Linked DNA regions of Arabidopsis thaliana. The protein of the gene in region 2 interacts with the protein of the main gene of each other region in a pairwise test. Each region holds a gene or a part of one and is shown on either strand. Other genes may lie near its edges.

Region 1 (8,762 bases), on a different chromosome or scaffold from region 2:
TGGATTCTTGAAACTTTTCTTTGAGAAATATGATCTCAGAGTCTTTGAGCTTTAACTGACACTCCAGCTTCTTCCCCATGATCTCATAAGTCTTTAAGACGCTTCTTAGCTCTTGAATCTCCGCAAGAACAAGAGTTCTATCAGGATTAGGATCAAGCTGTTTCTTCAAGAAACTCTGTTTCAGCTCTGATAATGTCTTCAGCTCTGCTACTACCAAGTTATCTGCTTTCTGAATCCCATTTGGATCATAAGGAGACTGAGCATACTGCAACTGCGCATAACCAGATTTTATCGAAGAAATCGTAGCAAACAGCTTTGCAAGAAGAGCCTCCATGGCCAGTCTTTTCTCATACTCTTCCTCCAGCTTGTCAAAGGACTCAGACAGATTTGCAGCATTCTTTGCTAAATCTTTATCCAACTTCACCTTTTCTTGGCTCTTCTTCACTCTTTCAACCTTGTTGTTACCTTCTGGAACAACACCGGTTAGCTTTTTCATGTTGATGACTTTAGCAAATGTGCGTCTGAGTTTTCCTTTTCCTGAAGAAACAACATCCAATGGTTTCACAGACTCCATCTGCAGATTCATCACCAATGCTTTAGTAAGATAACAAAAAAAAAAGTGAAGAAGTGGATGAATAGGACTTGTAACAATGTCTATATCGAACAAAAAGAGAAAAGTAAAAGCAAAATTAGATCTAGGACCATTAATAGAGCTTCACTTTGTAGACTTCTTTGGTTAAAACAACAAAAAAAGATGAAGAGCAGACAAGAAGCTTGAAGAGATTGTTTCACAAATGGTTCGCACTACACTTTTGGTCACAAAGGAAAGGAGGGAGATGTTTGCAATAAATATATATACACACAGAGAGAAAGAGAGACATACATGCTTAGATTATCTAGTGGATACAGCTTAAAGATTCAGCCAGAGTTGTGGGGACAATGTGGTTCATATATAAATGAAAAAAATGTTTTAATTTACAAGGAATAAACAATCAAGAAATGTCCAAGGAAGAAGAATAAACAACTTGCGTGTGTAGTACCATTTCTTTTCATGAACCGATCAACTTTTTTGCTTTCTTATTAATGTTCTGAAATCTTTTGCTATATATGTGTGTGGGGCTATTTAGTCAAATTGTGCTGCTATAGAATCAAACAAAAGTGAGAAAACAACATATAATAAAAATAACACCCAAATGGGTTTATCTGCAGAACACATGACACATGCAAATAATTCAACACCCCTCGTTCTTATTTTCTATTCAACTTTTTTCTGAAAAGGAACAGTCAAGAAAAAAGTGCGAAAGTGAATACAAAAAGAACTAATGAGTTTAAATACATATATATACTCAAAGTTGTTCATAAGTTTACAATTATGGGACACTGATAAAAGGATTAGAGTATTCAGGATTCATAATTGCTACAAACCAAATCAGTTAAACTAGAATCCAAGAACATAAAAGTGCCCCCACACACAAATACACACATGTCTCTATGTATATGATTCTCTTAAATGGTCATTTGATTCCACTCATTTGAAAAAAAAGTAAGACAGCCTCAAAGCCAAATATAGCTACCTAACATTTAGTACAGTCACAAGCTACTCACAAAACAACCATATTTCTCTATTTCACTAGAGCTTAGACCATAAAGCACACGGATTAAAGGAAAACTAATGAGAAGAGTTATGTTAAAGAGTGATAATAAACTCAGCAACATAACCAGTATTACTCCAGAAGGTCTAAATTAATATGGTTCTCAGGGTTTAATACAACTTTAGAAGCAAAGTTCATTTAAAAAGATTGTATTGAATTTACCTTCCAACAGTTCCAAGGTCTCTATCTTATCTATGTTTTGTTTGTTGTTCTCACTTCATCGTAGAGTGAATTTGAAGAAGCAAACTGGCGAAATGACAAACCAACCTCTGCTTAAACCCTGCAGATCAAATCAATCATATGAAATTATAAATCACTACCTACCAAAGGAAAAAGGATAAACACAGAACCAATATGAGACTAATATTCAAGCTGATGTGAATGCTTGACCATGGCATTATTGGTATGAATGATGGGATTGTAAGAGCATTCACAAGTCACAATGATATATTCATTTGATTGAAAATGAGAATATAAGAAACTGCAGAATAACAATGAAGACGAAATCATTCAGAAGAACAAAAGATGATAATTAATAAATATTGATTAGCTAACCAACCTGATCGATGTAAAAACACTCTCCCGGGCAAACCTCTCGGCGTTTTGCCTCTAAATTGATTCTTAACGACAATAAAATGGGTAACATACAAAAGATACAGATTCCTTCACGGTTTCAAGACAAGTCCGGAGCTCGAGAATGAGAAGAGGGGAAAAAGGCTTTAGAGTGACTGAGAGAGAGAGTCGTAGGAGAGGAGAAGAGAGTAATAAATGACAGAGAAGGGTGAGCCTAGGGAAGTTCAAAGGACATAGATTTACGTAAATACCCTCATGGTAAAGGGACATTTACACCGACATTGCTACTTTACTCCAAGAAACGTCGAAAAGGAAGTAGGGGTGTTCTCGGTATGTCAGGGAATAAGATGTTCAGACAGAACGCAAAATCACACGGTTTGGGTTGGGAATGAAACTACTTGGAAGCTGTTATTGCGTACGTACGCGAAGACCGGTCCGTCCGGTATGAGTGAGATAGATGAAAGACACGTGGCAAATTAAAAAAAAAGTGTAACCATTTCCCACATTCTCCTGAAAACGCTTTCTATTTGTTAACCCTTCTTTAGTTCCGTATTTAACTGCCTTGATGTTTATTTAATCAAACGAGAATTATGTAAGTTCATTCTCTATAAGTTCTTTTGTTTTTAAATAAGACTCTTAAATGTTGAACAAAAATAAAATAAGACTCTTAAATTATTTGTCAAGTTGCATAAAAGACAGCTGAATAGCAGTATTAGCTTTCACTAAATACGTGAAGCAACTCAATAAGTACAGTTGTCCTATCGATGAAAGCAAAATCAAGATTGAAAATTGCTAAGTCCAAAGTTTGAATCATCTTATAAGCAATAAGTAAACCAAATTAGTCTTGGTGGGCTTTAAATGCAAACTTTATAAATATAGAAATCGTGAGAATACATCATTCCAGTTATATTTGTACGAGTTATGAATACAATGCACTGATGCAGTGATGGAGTGGCATATGCATGTAATTTTATCAGTTAGTACAAAGTGAGTTAATTGTCCGTGTTTAACGGAAAGTAAAAAGCTTGAGAGACAATTCGATTTCAATTTCAAACCAAGAATTGAGAGCTATGAGCCTATGAGAGTATGGATTTGATAAAAAGGATTTTCTCTATTCACGACTATTCTTGATTTTTTTATTATGTATTAACGACTATTCACATACTATAAAGTTGCATATAATTTATTTACCTTATTTTGAAACAGACAAGAAAAAGGTATTGATGCGATTGGACATGTCGTAGAAGTGCTTCTGATCTGATCGGCTTTTTTTTTTTTGTTTCTTTACTTTAGTTTTGTCTTTTAGTATTCAAGACTTCTAGTGGCCCAGTGGCAGTGAGTATAAAGGATTTAGCACTCACTAAATGGGCGTATTGAAAGGTAAGAACCTTAATGGGCCTATTATAAGGCCCATAAAAAACACGAGTAACCCAATAAGGTAACTTTATGTTCGTTACACAATTTCTTTTCTTACTTTCAAAAAAGAAAAGAAAAAAATCTGTTGTCATCTGCAAATTGGTTTCATTCTATCAGTTGGTGTTGTGGTGTGTTGGAAGATGTGAATCGCCTCTACTAGGGTTCGATTCCAACATAAAATTGTACTTTTGGAAGATACAGAGAAAGAGATGGGCAAATCTCAGATTCTTCTAAACGCTGAGAGCTTTACTTGTTCTTCTTTCAATACTTTCTTCACTTTATGGATCTTCTTTACTCTTCACTCCTTTCCATTTCAAGCTCAAGCTGCTCCTTCTGGTAACTTTACCATACTTAACTTCGTTGCTTTGATCTATCTGCTTCACTCACTTTCTTAGTGAATTCACTCTTCAATTTCTGGTTTTTTATGTCAATTGTTGTAAATTGAATTTAGGTTCCTTGATTAAGCACATGTCATCGGTTCTCAAGTGGACTACTGGATCATCCTCTAAATTATCCCAATCAGGTAAATTCTCAATTAGTACGACTGAATTTGGTCGCCTTGATTGTTTGTTGTTCATAAACTTGGTTTTGATGTTTCTTTCTCTAACTGCTACTTGTGGTGCAGACACTAATGTTCTTCAGTTTGAGAATGGTTACTTGGTCGAAACTGTTGTGGAAGGAAACGATATTGGTGTTGTTCCTTACAAGATTCGAGTTTCTGATGATGGAGAACTTTATGCTGTTGATGAACTTAATAGCAACATCATGAAAATCACTCCTCCCTTGTCTCAGTGTAAAACTTCGTTCTCCACAAGTTCTCTTCTTTATGACTTAGTTTTTGCAGTTTTAAGTACATCCAATCATATACACATGCCATCGCAGATTATACTTGATACACTAACGATACTACTGTGATCTTTTGATGATCTTGGCTTGTAGCATTACATTTTCTATTTTACTTCAATATTCTGGTTCTTTATACTATATATGAAACATTTGATTTTCTCTTTCTTTTTTAGTGTTGGAGGTTTTTATGACTTTGTTTATAATCTATGTACTTGTGGGCAGACAGCAGGGGAAGATTGGTGGCTGGATCTTTTCAAGGAAAAACAGGGCATGCAGATGGAAAACCGAGTGAGGCTCGTTTTAACCATCCGAGAGGCGTTACAATGGATGACAAAGGGAACGTTTATGTCGCTGATACTTTGAATCTCGCCATCCGAAAGATTGGTGATTCAGGTATACAAGTTTTCTATAGGTTTTACTTACATCAGCACTCAAAAACTGAAATGGTTGCTTGTTGTTGAAAAATATAATTAAACTGAGAAGAATTGTGTTCTTAAGAGTCTGAAACATTTTTGTTACAGGTGTTACTACGATAGCTGGGGGAAAATCAAATATAGCTGGGTATAGAGATGGGCCAAGTGAGGATGCAAAGTTCTCAAATGATTTTGATGTCGTATATGTTCGGCCTACCTGCTCGTTGCTGGTCATCGATAGAGGAAATGCGGCTCTTCGCCAAATCTCTCTCAGTGAAGAGGACTGTGACTATCAAGATGATAGCTCAATCTCTCTAACTGGTAAGAAGTCAAAAACACCTCTTCCCACTACATAGATCATTTTGCATACACTCTGTTTAGGGGTGGATTTGAGAGTGTTAACAGAAGATCATTGCGTGCTTACATTCGGTGCAGATATACTCTTGGTTATTGGTGCTGTTCTCATTGGTTATGCTACTTGTATGCTCCAGCAGGGCTTTGGAAATTCTTTCTTCTCAAAGACGGTAAATTTCTATCTCTTCTCTTTCGTGCCTTTTCGCTTCTCATCAACCATATGCTACAAACAACAACAATTTCTGTTTTATCTTACAGCAGGTAGGATCAGAAACCAGCTATGAAGAAGAGCATCCAGGAAAAGAGAAACTCTCCCGGCCTGTCCATGAGAAAACAATAACCAAGGAAGAACCTGGTTGGCCATCATTTGGGCAACTCCTTACTGATCTCTGCAAACTTGCTCTCGAGTTTATAACCAGCCACCTAGTTCCAGCCCGATTCCAAACCAACCCCAATCTAAGGCCATTAAAAGATAGACTCATAATGCCTGAAGACGAACAAGAACCACCTCGAGTCCAAAGGCATACTGCCCCAGCACCAATCTCAGAATCCCGACATGCTCACTTACCTAAAGCTGATGATAGTTACCCTGAACATAAGACGCCAAAGCTAAGATCAAGTAGTGTAATGAAGGACCCTACTTTGTCATCATCCAAGCACCATCGGACATCATCAAAACGGCAGGACTATGCTCAGTTCTATGCCTCGGGAGAGGTTGCCCAACCGAAGATCCATAAAGAGCGGTCAAGGCGTCGTCATAGAGATAAAACAACCGAGACAGAACCAAAGCCAACACCATCAGATACGGTGAAGCCTGTGGAGTACAGTAATAGTTCAAAGTTTGATCATTACAACATGAGGAGCAGCAAGTATGGACCTGAAACTCCATTTCGATTCTAGAAAGTAAAATCACATACTCATTAGAACCCTTTTCTGAGTATGTTGTGCCCTTTCTTTTGTCCTTGGTTTGAGGAGATTCCTTATGTTTTCTTTTTGTTAGTTACTAAGAAAATCTTATTACACAGATGATGAAAAAGAGGTTAAAGGCTTTTCTTGTAACGAAGGATTGATGAATCATGACTGAAAATCTGATGTATTATGAACTTATACGATCACAAGAACAGGCTCTTCGTTACTAACTTGCTATTAACACATTCTTGCTTGCTATATATAGATCTTTGGCTGCTAGAGATAGGTTCCTTGCTAACCATGGTCCTAAGAAAGTATATATAATTGTAAAGAATCTTAGTCAAAAAAAAAAAAAGGAAAAAAAAATGAAGGGCCCTACCGGGTTCGAACCGGTGACCTCTTGATCTGCAGTCAAATGCTCTACCACTGAGCTAAGGACCCTTTTGTTCAACTCATGATACATTCATTACAAAAATATTAGGTGCTCATGATAGAACAGAGTAAAATCTATGTGTTTGGCATGGAGATAAAGAGAGTACGAATACGAATATGATTTTTTAAGATCGAATTTGATAATAACTTGACTTCATTCATACGAATATGATTTTTTAAGATCGAATTTGATAATAACTTGACTTCATTCAGTTCCATTTTTATAGAATTATTGTAGAGATTTGGTTGAAACTTTAATAATTGGAATGTGCTTTGTTGACAAACTATCGATCAGTTGAAAAACGACCTTACTAAATGAATTAGCTATAGAAGTTTTGATCTATACAGTTTCATATTGTGTTCACTTACACTACACGGAGGTAGGGTTTAGATTAATTATTTTTCTTGATCATTCGATTTCTTTAATTCTAATAACCTATGTATGATTACAAAATTCAGAAACGGACCTTTTATTCAGATTTAAATGATCAATCACAATAACAAATGCTATAATTGATGTTTCCGTATTTTATTTCTTTTACTCAACCATATAATTGTAAAGAATCTCATTCCAAGTATCCGGTACCCCAGAGAGACACCAGTGGCTGCAGTCACCGGAGGAGTTTCGCCCGCCTAGACCGTAAACCGAAGGATGAGCATCTTTGCGAAGCAACGAAAGCATCGTAATGTCTAGCAATGTCACCGGTTTCGATATTTTCCCGAGTGCTCTCTTCAAAACTCCCACTTCTGCTGGCAATCCTCCTGGATATTTTGTCCCCAAAAGTGGTTCCTTCTGTCCCACGCAACTCTTTGCCGCTGGTTCGCCCCACAGAACTCCTCTGGTAAACAACAAAGCCAACTTTTTAAATACAAGTTTCTTTAGTTGATCATCTTTTTAATCAACAAAATCAACTTACTTGTAATGAGATGGAGAAATTCCTTGAAAAAAGACTCTAGTTTTCTTAGTATTTAAGACGGTATCGACCCATTTCCCCCAAGTCCCAAGCGCAATTTCAAACGCGGCCACACGGTCCATGTCTTTTGTAACGTTAGTCCCTATTTGAATCAAATCCCATCTGCCAAAATTAACAAAACAAATCCAAACTTTGAACATTGCATGTAATTAAGCCAAAAACAAAGCATATTAATTCAGAGTTACTTGAACGTACGGTTGTGCAGGACCTCTCCGACTCCACCAATGCCAAGTATTAAAAATCAATGTATCCATCTCTACCCAATTTTTTCCATCATTGATCGAATCAAGCTTCAAAACTCTCCCAATCTTCTCCCTAACTATATCTACTAGATAAACATTCCTATCAAGCTTCAATTCCAGTCCATACTCCTGCAATTTTCACCACTCCGGTTTAGTTCATCCCGGTTTTCTATTCAACTTGACCAAAACAAGTGTAGATTTGGTAATAACAACTACCTTGAATGTGTAGGTTGATATACTACCTTGTGTGGTTAAAGTATACGTAGAATTTGGAACAGAGGAATGAAGCATACATGCCAACGATTGCCATTGATTTAGACTAAGAGAATCACCAACAAACATAATCTTCTTCCCTTTGTTTTTCTTCAAAAACTGCAATCCATTGAACCTAGAACAAACAATATAAACGGTGGCGTTTTATGTCGGTGGCATGCATTGAAATTAACTTAAGAAACAGGAGGACAGAACCGTCGAAAGATTTGAGTTACTGTCCCCACAAGTGTGGGGGAATTTATGTCTTCTTATGAGGAAGAGTTTGGTGGCTGTCCTAATCTCAATGGCGGCGCGTGTAACTCACGCCGGATCCACCACTTGGCATATATTGTGACAAAAAAAGTTCGTTTTCATCTCGTGCAATTTTGGAGATTCTAAACACCATTCAATTATAGCAAACAACTATATAAATAGCATTCTCTTTTCTCATTGGTTGCTCACTCAAAAGTGCTTTATTTTACAAACACAAAAACAATATCTCTAAACATTTTCAACTTTCTTGAAAAGTAATTATATGAACCAAATCAAGATTTCTTCACACTGCTGAATTATTATTGCGTTTATCTTTCAAATCAAAAAATTGTGGTCCTCCTATAACGCTAATGTAATGTCATATTTCAACAAATAAAAACCGACGAATATATTAAAACAAAATCATGAATCAAAAGTAAAAAAATA
Region 2 (8,497 bases):
CATTAAAGAGCTGCCCTCTTCCATATCGTATCTGACTGCTCTTGACGAACTATTATTCGTAGACTCCAGGAGAAACTCGCCAGTTGTAACCAATCCCAATGCCAATTCAACTGAGTTGATGCCTTCTGAGTCAAGTAAGCTTGAGATCTTAGGTACTCCGGCAGATAACGAAGTAGTTGTTGGTGGTACGGTAGAGAAAACCCGTGGTATTGAACGAACGCCGACTATTTTGGTGAAGTCGAGAGAGTATCTAATTCCCGATGATGTTGTGGCGGTTGGTGGTGATATTAAGGGGCTAAGACCACCAGTACTTCAGCTCCAACCAGCAATGAAACTATCTCATATTCCTCGAGGATCAACTTGGGATTTCGTTACGCATTTCGCTCCACCTGAAACAGTTGCGCCGCCGAGTTCCTCTTCAGAAGCCAGGGAAGAGGAAGTGGAAACGGAAGAGACGGGAGCTATGTTTATCCCATTGGGGGATAAGGAGACATGCTCATTCACTGTAAACAAGGGTGACTCCTCAAGGACAATATCTAATACGTCGCCGATTTATGCCTCCGAAGGATCTTTCATCACGTGTTGGCAGAAGGGTCAACTTCTGGGACGAGGATCATTAGGGTCCGTATATGAAGGCATTTCAGCGTAAGTCTTACTGGTTGATAATGTTTGTTGAACTTAAAATCAGATTTCTTAGTTGCAAAGCGATACTAAGAAAGCGAGTTTTCCTTTACGCCTTTGGCTCATGCCAACCAAAATGCTTTATGGTGGATGTTTATGTTAAATGTAGAGACGGGGACTTCTTTGCTTTCAAGGAAGTTTCACTACTTGATCAGGGAAGTCAGGCACATGAATGGATACAACAAGTCGAGGGGGTGAGATATACCTGGTCTATTACTGGCATCAAATTTTAATTCTTGTAACATTGTGTCCTTGATCTGTTGGAAGTAGTTTGCTAATCCTCATTACTCTTGCCACATTTTTTGATTTTCTACAGGGGATTGCGCTACTTAGTCAGCTTCAGCATCAGAATATCGTGCGATATCGTGGCACAACTAAGGTATGATTTCTGGGTTCCTGTTCTCAGTTGCAGCTGACTCATAAAACATAATGCATTTTTGCTGTTTGCAGGACGAGTCGAATTTGTACATTTTTCTTGAACTTGTAACCCAAGGGTCCCTTCGAAAACTCTACCAAAGAAACCAGCTTGGGGACTCTGTAGTCTCCTTATACACAAGACAGATTCTTGATGGATTGAAATATCTCCACGATAAAGGTTTTATACACAGGTTTGACTAGAAAAATCTCTTTTTTTATAGCAGTTCATGTATTTCCCAAGCTTCTGATTTCCTGGGTCGTTTACTTTTTTTTCATCTGATGTGAAAAAGGAACATTAAATGTGCAAATGTATTGGTGGACGCTAATGGAACAGTTAAACTTGCAGATTTTGGATTGGCTAAGGTTCTTTTCCATTAATAATAGATGTTTATAGTATTTTCAAGTACTAACCTGGTACATCGCTTATTCCCCTTACTTGATACCTGTGGCATTTTGTTATAGGTAATGTCCCTCTGGCGAACTCCGTATTGGAATTGGATGGCTCCAGAGGTTATTGTTTTAAAATCCTTCCCGCTGTTTTAATTTGTCAATACAATGATAGACAAACATATCATACATCAAAAGAAATGTTGTATCTTAAACTGTTACTTAAATATGTTCCCGCATATATTGTGATCCAGGCTTGATAAGCTCGAAAATCCCCGGTTATGTTTCCTTCAGGTCTTTGATTAATCTGAAACTAGTTTGAAATTATTTCTATTTTAGTTTATAGTTCTTATTATAACTGTGAGTATGTAATTAGTGATCATAGGTAACAGACGCGGATGTATATCATTTTGATTGTACTTTAGGCTATACTTGTACAACTGTGTTTCTAAACTGAACATAATAATTTGATCAGGTTATTCTTAACCCGAAGGATTATGATGGTTATGGAACTCCAGCTGATATATGGAGCCTTGGGTGTACTGTGCTAGAAATGTTGACTGGTCAGATTCCCTACTCCGATCTGGAAATCGTAAGTCTTCAAGATTCTCAAACTTTCTTTATATGAAAGTAAGCAAATTCCCACAATTATCACCAACTATTTAGCTGTAAAAGTAAATGAACAAAGCATTTGGCACAGTTTAAATTTGTACTTCTCAACAAGTGATTTTGTTTTGCACCTTCAATTGTTTTGAACTTTTATTTTATTTTTATGGGATTTTGAAGTAATAATTAAAGGTCATAATTTGTGTAAACGTGCAGGGTACAGCCTTGTATAACATTGGAACGGGTAAGCTTCCGAAAATACCTGATATTCTATCGCTAGACGCCCGGGATTTCATACTTACGTGTCTCAAAGTGAACCCGGAAGAGCGGCCAACTGCAGCTGAGCTGCTTAACCATCCATTTGTGAATATGCCATTACCATCCTCGGGCTCAGGTTCAGTATCTTCGCTCCTCCGTGGATGAGGCTAATTTTAGAAGATTGCCTTCGATAGGTGAAACTTTGGGCTTTGTTGTCATGAGAATATATTAGAATCAAAAGTTGTATATATATTCTAACATATGCCCTAATATGCTTTGCACTAAAATCGTTTGAATCTTCTGTTCCATACTTCACGTTGACAAATCACAATTTTTTTTATGTCTTTTGTTTCTTTTTTTTTGCTGAAGCCAACAAAGTTGTCCATCTCTTTCTTGCTCATTCCAATACACATCAAATATAGTGAACATAATATTTCTTCCAAACTTAATCTGAAAAGTCTAGACTAATTAAGATTAAGATTCATAAATATAACTTAATTTGCACCTATTTGGATATGAGGGAGGTATCTGTTAATGTCTCAAGTCAGTTATAATTTTGGGTCGCTAACGCATCGACAATGAAAAGAACAGGACCAAACATCGATAATGGAAAAGTCATAGATAGAGCTTTTTTGGGGCGGCTGGATCCATACAACATAATGCATCTCAGTGTTGGTTAAAGTTTCAACACAATAACCTTCAGAGTCCCGTACAAAAACTCATTAAAACTGATTGTATATAATGAGTATTTGGACGGACGATTAGGGTTTTATATGGTTTCAATATTTATAAAACCGAAAAACCATAAAACCGTAACCAAACTGAATTACATATGTTTCTATATGGTTATAGTTTTAGTAAAACCAAAAAACCGTAAAACCAAAAATCCGAACTGAAACCAAACCGAAAAACCGTATGCCCACCACTAAGAAGTAAAGAAGAGCAAAAGATTCATAGCTTCTATAGTTGCAGTAGTAATGACAATTAATATATTGTCTTGATAGGATTAAATTCATTTTGTTATTTAACTTAATTTTTCATGTTAAGATCTTATTCCAAGTTTATAGTTTAGACAAAATTTCACTTAATTAACGTATCCTTACAAAAAGTTATACTCATATGGAAAAATGAAAAGGAATTTGAATTGAATCAAACTGAAACTTCATCGAACTAAATTATTATGTTTCATTGTAAACCGTAAAGAGGAAAAGATGTTAACAAAGAAAACAAAACAAAAACAAAAAGAAGAAGTAAAAGATAAAGCCATACCTAAAAATTCCTTTTTTTTTTAAGATAAGAATTTTTATATAGATGCCAATTAAACCCCAAACTGTTTCTTAAACTGTTTCTCCCTTTCTCTAAATTATATCAAATAGTTTCTTCATTTGTTTGCTCAAAATGATAATTGTCCAATCGAAACCCGAACTTTTGAGAATTTTTTATTTTTATTTTTTCCTTTCAAATAGTGCATTTGAGACGATAGGTTGGTGACTTGGTGTGTCATTTACACGTGCGTATCGTGGAAATGTATCAACAATTTACACGCCTCATGAAACGTCCCTTGGTTAGGTTGGTATAGTACTTTGAGCTAAACAAAAATATAAATCGAACAAAAAACGCTGCGTTTTTGTTTCCACATCTCTTTCTCTTTCTCTCTTAAGCCTCAAGAAAGAAAAATGGGTGTGATATCTCCGACTGAAACTCTGTTCTTAAAGTCTCAACATCGTCTTCTTCAACCTCGAAACTATTCATACGCACTTGCTTTTCACAGCACTCGACGAGTTGCGAATTTCCCACGCAACTCATTCTCTTCTCTAGGTTTCACTTTCTTTCTCCTCTGTTTTTATGAAATGTTATCATTTCTTTAGTCTTCAATTCTTGTTTTTGATGGGTTTAGTTCTCTTGTAGGATCATGTTCTGTAGATTTTCCACTACGAAGTAACCCGATTTCACAAAGTAAGTAAAAATCTCGGCTAGTAACTCTGTTTTTAGGAGTGAAGAAGTTCAATTTTTGAATGTTTCTGATTTTTGGTGTGTTATACAATCCAAAGATAGCAAGTCAATTCATCCTTGGCGGAGATATGTATCCGAATCTGACTCAAACGAGGTAAACCACAATCAACAAAATTGCGGCTTTTATCGCTTTCTTGGCAAGTAACAGTTCTGTTTTGTTTCAGCTGTATCATAAGAAGGTTTCTTCTATTATGGAAACATTAAAGCAAGCCTACTCTTTTATTCCTCATGGAATTCTGTTAAGTACAATATTAGCTCTTGTCTATCCACCTTCTTTCACATGGTTCAAGCCAAGGTTTGGATCAACCTACTTACTAATTTGATCAAAATCTTAATTAGACATCTCTCTTTATTACTATTTCTCCTTATTTAGGTACTTTGTACCTGGCTTAGGGTTCATGATGTTTGCTGTTGGTATCAACTCTAATGAAAGAGATTTTCTTGAAGCACTTAAAAGACCAGATGCTATTTTTGCCGGTTACATCGGACAATACTTGATTAAACCTCTCTTAGGTTACATTTTCGGCGTAATTGCTGTCTCTCTTTTCAATCTACCTACTTCTATAGGTGCTGGAATCATGTTGGTCTCATGTGTTAGTGGAGCTCAGCTATCAAATTACACAACTTTCTTGACCGATCCTTCACTCGCGGCGCTTAGCATCGTCATGACATCTATCTCAACGGCCACTGCGGTCCTCGTTACACCTATGCTTTCACTCTTACTCATTGGTAAAAAGCTTCCCGTTGATGTGTTTGGGATGATCTCTAGCATTCTTCAAGTGGTGATTACACCTATTGCCGCAGGACTACTTCTGAACCGGTGGGACATCATCTCAATCGATTAGAATTATTGTAATGTTATATGTTAGAAAGAACAAAAAACTAACGTTACGTTACAAATGTGAGTGCAGGTTGTTTCCAAGGTTGTCTAATGCAATCAAACCATTTCTTCCGGCGTTAACAGTTATCGATATGAGTTGTTGCATAGGAGCACCCCTTGCTTTGAATATAGATTCAATCTTGTCTCCGTTTGGTGCAACCATTTTGTTCCTCGTCATCACGTTTCATCTCTTGGCTTTTGTTGCTGGTTACTTTTTCACTGGTTTCTTCTTCAGCAAGGCACCTGATGTAAAAGCTCTGCAAAGAACAATTTCCTATGAAACAGGAATGCAAAGTAGTCTTCTCGCTCTGGCCCTCGCTACAAAGTTCTTTCAAGATCCTCTCGTTGGAGTGCCTCCAGCAATCTCCGTGAGTTTTCAATATAGTTTTGTTACATCTATTTTCTTCTATTAACCATGTTTTTGTTTAACCGGAATTTTTTTATATTTTGCAGACGGTTGTTATGTCTCTAATGGGCGTCTCGCTTGTTACCATATGGAAAAACAGAAAGGAGTAGTGACATGAAACCTAATCAGGGATTTTGCGGAATTTGCTGTTGTTTATGGTCGGCTGTTCCAATTGTTTTCGTAATGATCTGGTTATGTTTTCATATAAAAGAACCAAGAATTTACCCATAAAAAGTTTAAAATGTTTCCATTTTTGGTTCTTGATTGGTTCTGAGACAAACCAAAACAGAGTCAATCAACCAGAGTCCAGAGAACAATACAAGTTTTCACAATTTACTATTCATGTCCATGTGTAAGACTTGTGATATAAAGTTTGAGACTTTTATGGAAACCGATGTATCAAGAAAAAAATTGTGTCTCCGGACGAGTCTAGCATTATTCTATATTCTGAGCATCTTCCTTCTGGCAGTAATATTCAAATTTGAGCTCTTTAGGTTATCTCATGGTCCTTTGCTTAATCATGAAAAGATAAATCCTTTGGCTATGTTTTGATGTTACTCATAGACTTTTAGTTAACTCTGACTTCATCACTGGTTCTATTTCTTAGTAAGTAATAGCTATAAACTATAAGAATAACCTTTTCCTTTTTTGGCTCTATTTACTGACTTTACCTTTGGTCAGAAAGGCAGGAGTACTGGCTTCACGGATAAGAAACAACAAGAAGTTTGGTTTTTCAAAGTCAAAAACAGCAGGGTTTCTTGACCTTTAAGAATTAGGTAGGATTCTTTAGGGGGATGTGTAAGCCAGTCATATATTGCAGGTCTCATAATTGATGATTCTTCCATTTGAAACTTAAACATAGATAAATGAAAAAAGTTTCTCTAATCACAATGGTTATGAATCATGGTGGAAGATGATCTAAGCATTATCTATAAAATTTATTATTTGTAGATTTGTAGATCTAAGCTTAAAAGAGGAATGTCATGTTTGATTACATCAATTATTTGTAGATTGTAAATATTTTAGTCCTTGTCGCAATTGTTTTGGCAGCGTATCTTTTCATACTATTGATTTTCAATACAAAAAAAAAGGTAAATAAAATTCATTTTCTTAAAAAAACAAGGTTTGTGTTTAAGACCAAAAGTAAGATACAACCCGTAAGCTTAAAGCCATATTTGCAAAAATAATTTCACTTTAATTATAGCTTAAACAAACTAAATCATATAAAATAAAATTTGTTAAAATTCCGACTTTTTCTTATATCAATCAGCTAAAAATGTTCAACCATATGCTTTATGATTTATCTAATCAAATTGACTAGACTTGGCAAAATACCCGAAACAAGGAATCAAGCCAAATCCAATATGAATCCGAATTCGAAATTTTAAAATACCCGAACAGATTCTAAACATCAAAATCCAAAATCCGGAAATCAGAACCCGATTCAAACCTGAACCCGATTAAGTACCCGAATATATCCAAAATATATATACATAAAAATAATTTAATAGTAATAATCATATTTACAACAATTTAAGTGTCTAAAATATTTAGATTTTAAGATATTTTGTATATTTTTAGGTATTTTACTTACTTTTAGATTGATTCGGATAGAAAATACTTAAGTTTTTCTAAAAGTTTTTGTATAATTTAAAATAATTTGAATATATTTTTGTACAAAATTTGAAATTTTTGATATTTCGAATAAATCTGAATCCAAACTAGAAAAATCTAATCCGAAACCGACGTAAATACCGGAACGTATATATTTTTAATCGACTGTCGAAGAAAAGTAAGAAACAGTGGACTGTGTAGAGAAATGGTAACAATAATAGAATGACTCTTTTAACTTCTAAGATTCTTATTTATTACGAAGATGTCATTACCCCTAGATAAGCCGTTCGATGAAATTAAAAGCAGTAATGTCACATAAACGTCGGTCGTAACACATCCAACGGCTAAAACCAATTAAAAAGCACGCCAACACTGACGACGTTAAGAAAAAAACAAAGACAAGACCGACAATAAAAAAAAAAAAAGAGGAAACCGTGTCTCGTGGTTCGTAAACCAAACCATATAACAAAAGCCTCATTTCTCTCATCAACCATTGTTGCGTGTTTGGTTATCTCTTCTTTCTTCTCTCTCACCTAAATCAAGGGATTTGTTCTGATCAACTTTGAACAGAATTTACAACAAATCCCTAGAAAAATCTGACCCTTCCTTCTTCCTCAGGAAGATTTAAGATACTTGTTGATAAGGATATTCGGAAGAAGCTTTTGAAATTTTTGGCAAAGGTCTCATTTGATCCGACTTTTCTGGTAATTTTTTTCCCTTTATTGTTTGTTTTTCCAACAGATCTGAACATTTTTGTTACGATTAATCAAATTTCTGTGTTCTTAAATTGGATTTGGGGAAATTTTGAGTAGCGAGATAGATCTTATCAAAGCTGGGTTAAATCGAATTTTTGTTTATAGAAAAGCTGGGTTTAGATCGAAATGAATCATTTTTGATTATATAGAAGCTGTGTTTTATTGGAATTTGATCAATTTTGATTGTATCGAAGCTGCGTTAAATCGAAATGATTGATTATATTGAAGCTGGGTTTGATCGAATTGAATCGGTTATTTGATTATCATGTTATGAATTGAAGACAACCTTAAAAAATGAGTCTTCTGGTGTCAGATGATAAATTGTTTTTGTTGTTTGTTTAGTTGAAGGTGAAATAGATACAAAAAAAATGGGCTCAGAGGAAAACAACAGCACAAGCTTTCCACCAACAGAGCCAAAGCTCTGTGATAACGGATGTGGATTCTTCGGGTCACCATCCAACATGAATCTCTGCTCGAAAT

The links. Proteins that work in one complex are often made in the same cells at the same time.
Region 1: the proteins of BAT5 (region 2) and AT3G14860 interact in a protein complementation assay, tested with the Arabidopsis thaliana proteins (one large-scale study listed by BioGRID).

Annotation. Positions count from the first base shown.
Region 1 is NC_003074.8:4,995,983-5,004,744, reverse strand, and holds AT3G14860 (NHL domain-containing protein), read left to right. Parts: upstream 1-3,698; 5' UTR 3,699-3,850; coding exon 3,851-3,977; intron 3,978-4,092; coding exon 4,093-4,164; intron 4,165-4,266; coding exon 4,267-4,434; intron 4,435-4,709; coding exon 4,710-4,880; intron 4,881-5,008; coding exon 5,009-5,221; intron 5,222-5,335; coding exon 5,336-5,424; intron 5,425-5,512; coding exon 5,513-6,154; 3' UTR 6,155-6,441; downstream 6,442-8,762. Other genes in the region: AT3G14870 (hypothetical protein (DUF641)), read right to left, coding at 1-586; TBL41 (TRICHOME BIREFRINGENCE-LIKE 41), read right to left, coding at 7,134-7,434, 7,513-7,671, 7,765-7,940, 8,028-8,199.
Region 2 is NC_003075.7:7,206,956-7,215,452, forward strand, and holds BAT5 (bile acid transporter 5), read left to right. Parts: upstream 1-3,851; 5' UTR 3,852-4,025; coding exon 4,026-4,167; intron 4,168-4,257; coding exon 4,258-4,305; intron 4,306-4,400; coding exon 4,401-4,456; exon of another isoform or gene 4,457-4,526; coding exon 4,527-4,657; exon of another isoform or gene 4,658-4,735; coding exon 4,736-5,182; intron 5,183-5,273; coding exon 5,274-5,610; intron 5,611-5,695; coding exon 5,696-5,758; 3' UTR 5,759-6,421; downstream 6,422-8,497. Other genes in the region: WRKY19 (protein kinase family protein), read left to right, coding at 1-645, 791-875, 998-1,060, 1,132-1,289, 1,389-1,461, 1,561-1,608, 1,961-2,077, 2,308-2,514; SAP7 (A20/AN1-like zinc finger family protein), read left to right, coding at 8,386-8,497. UniProt on the Arabidopsis thaliana protein: Plastidic transporter involved in the biosynthesis of aliphatic glucosinolates by translocating the biosynthetic intermediates of Met-derived glucosinolates across chloroplast membranes.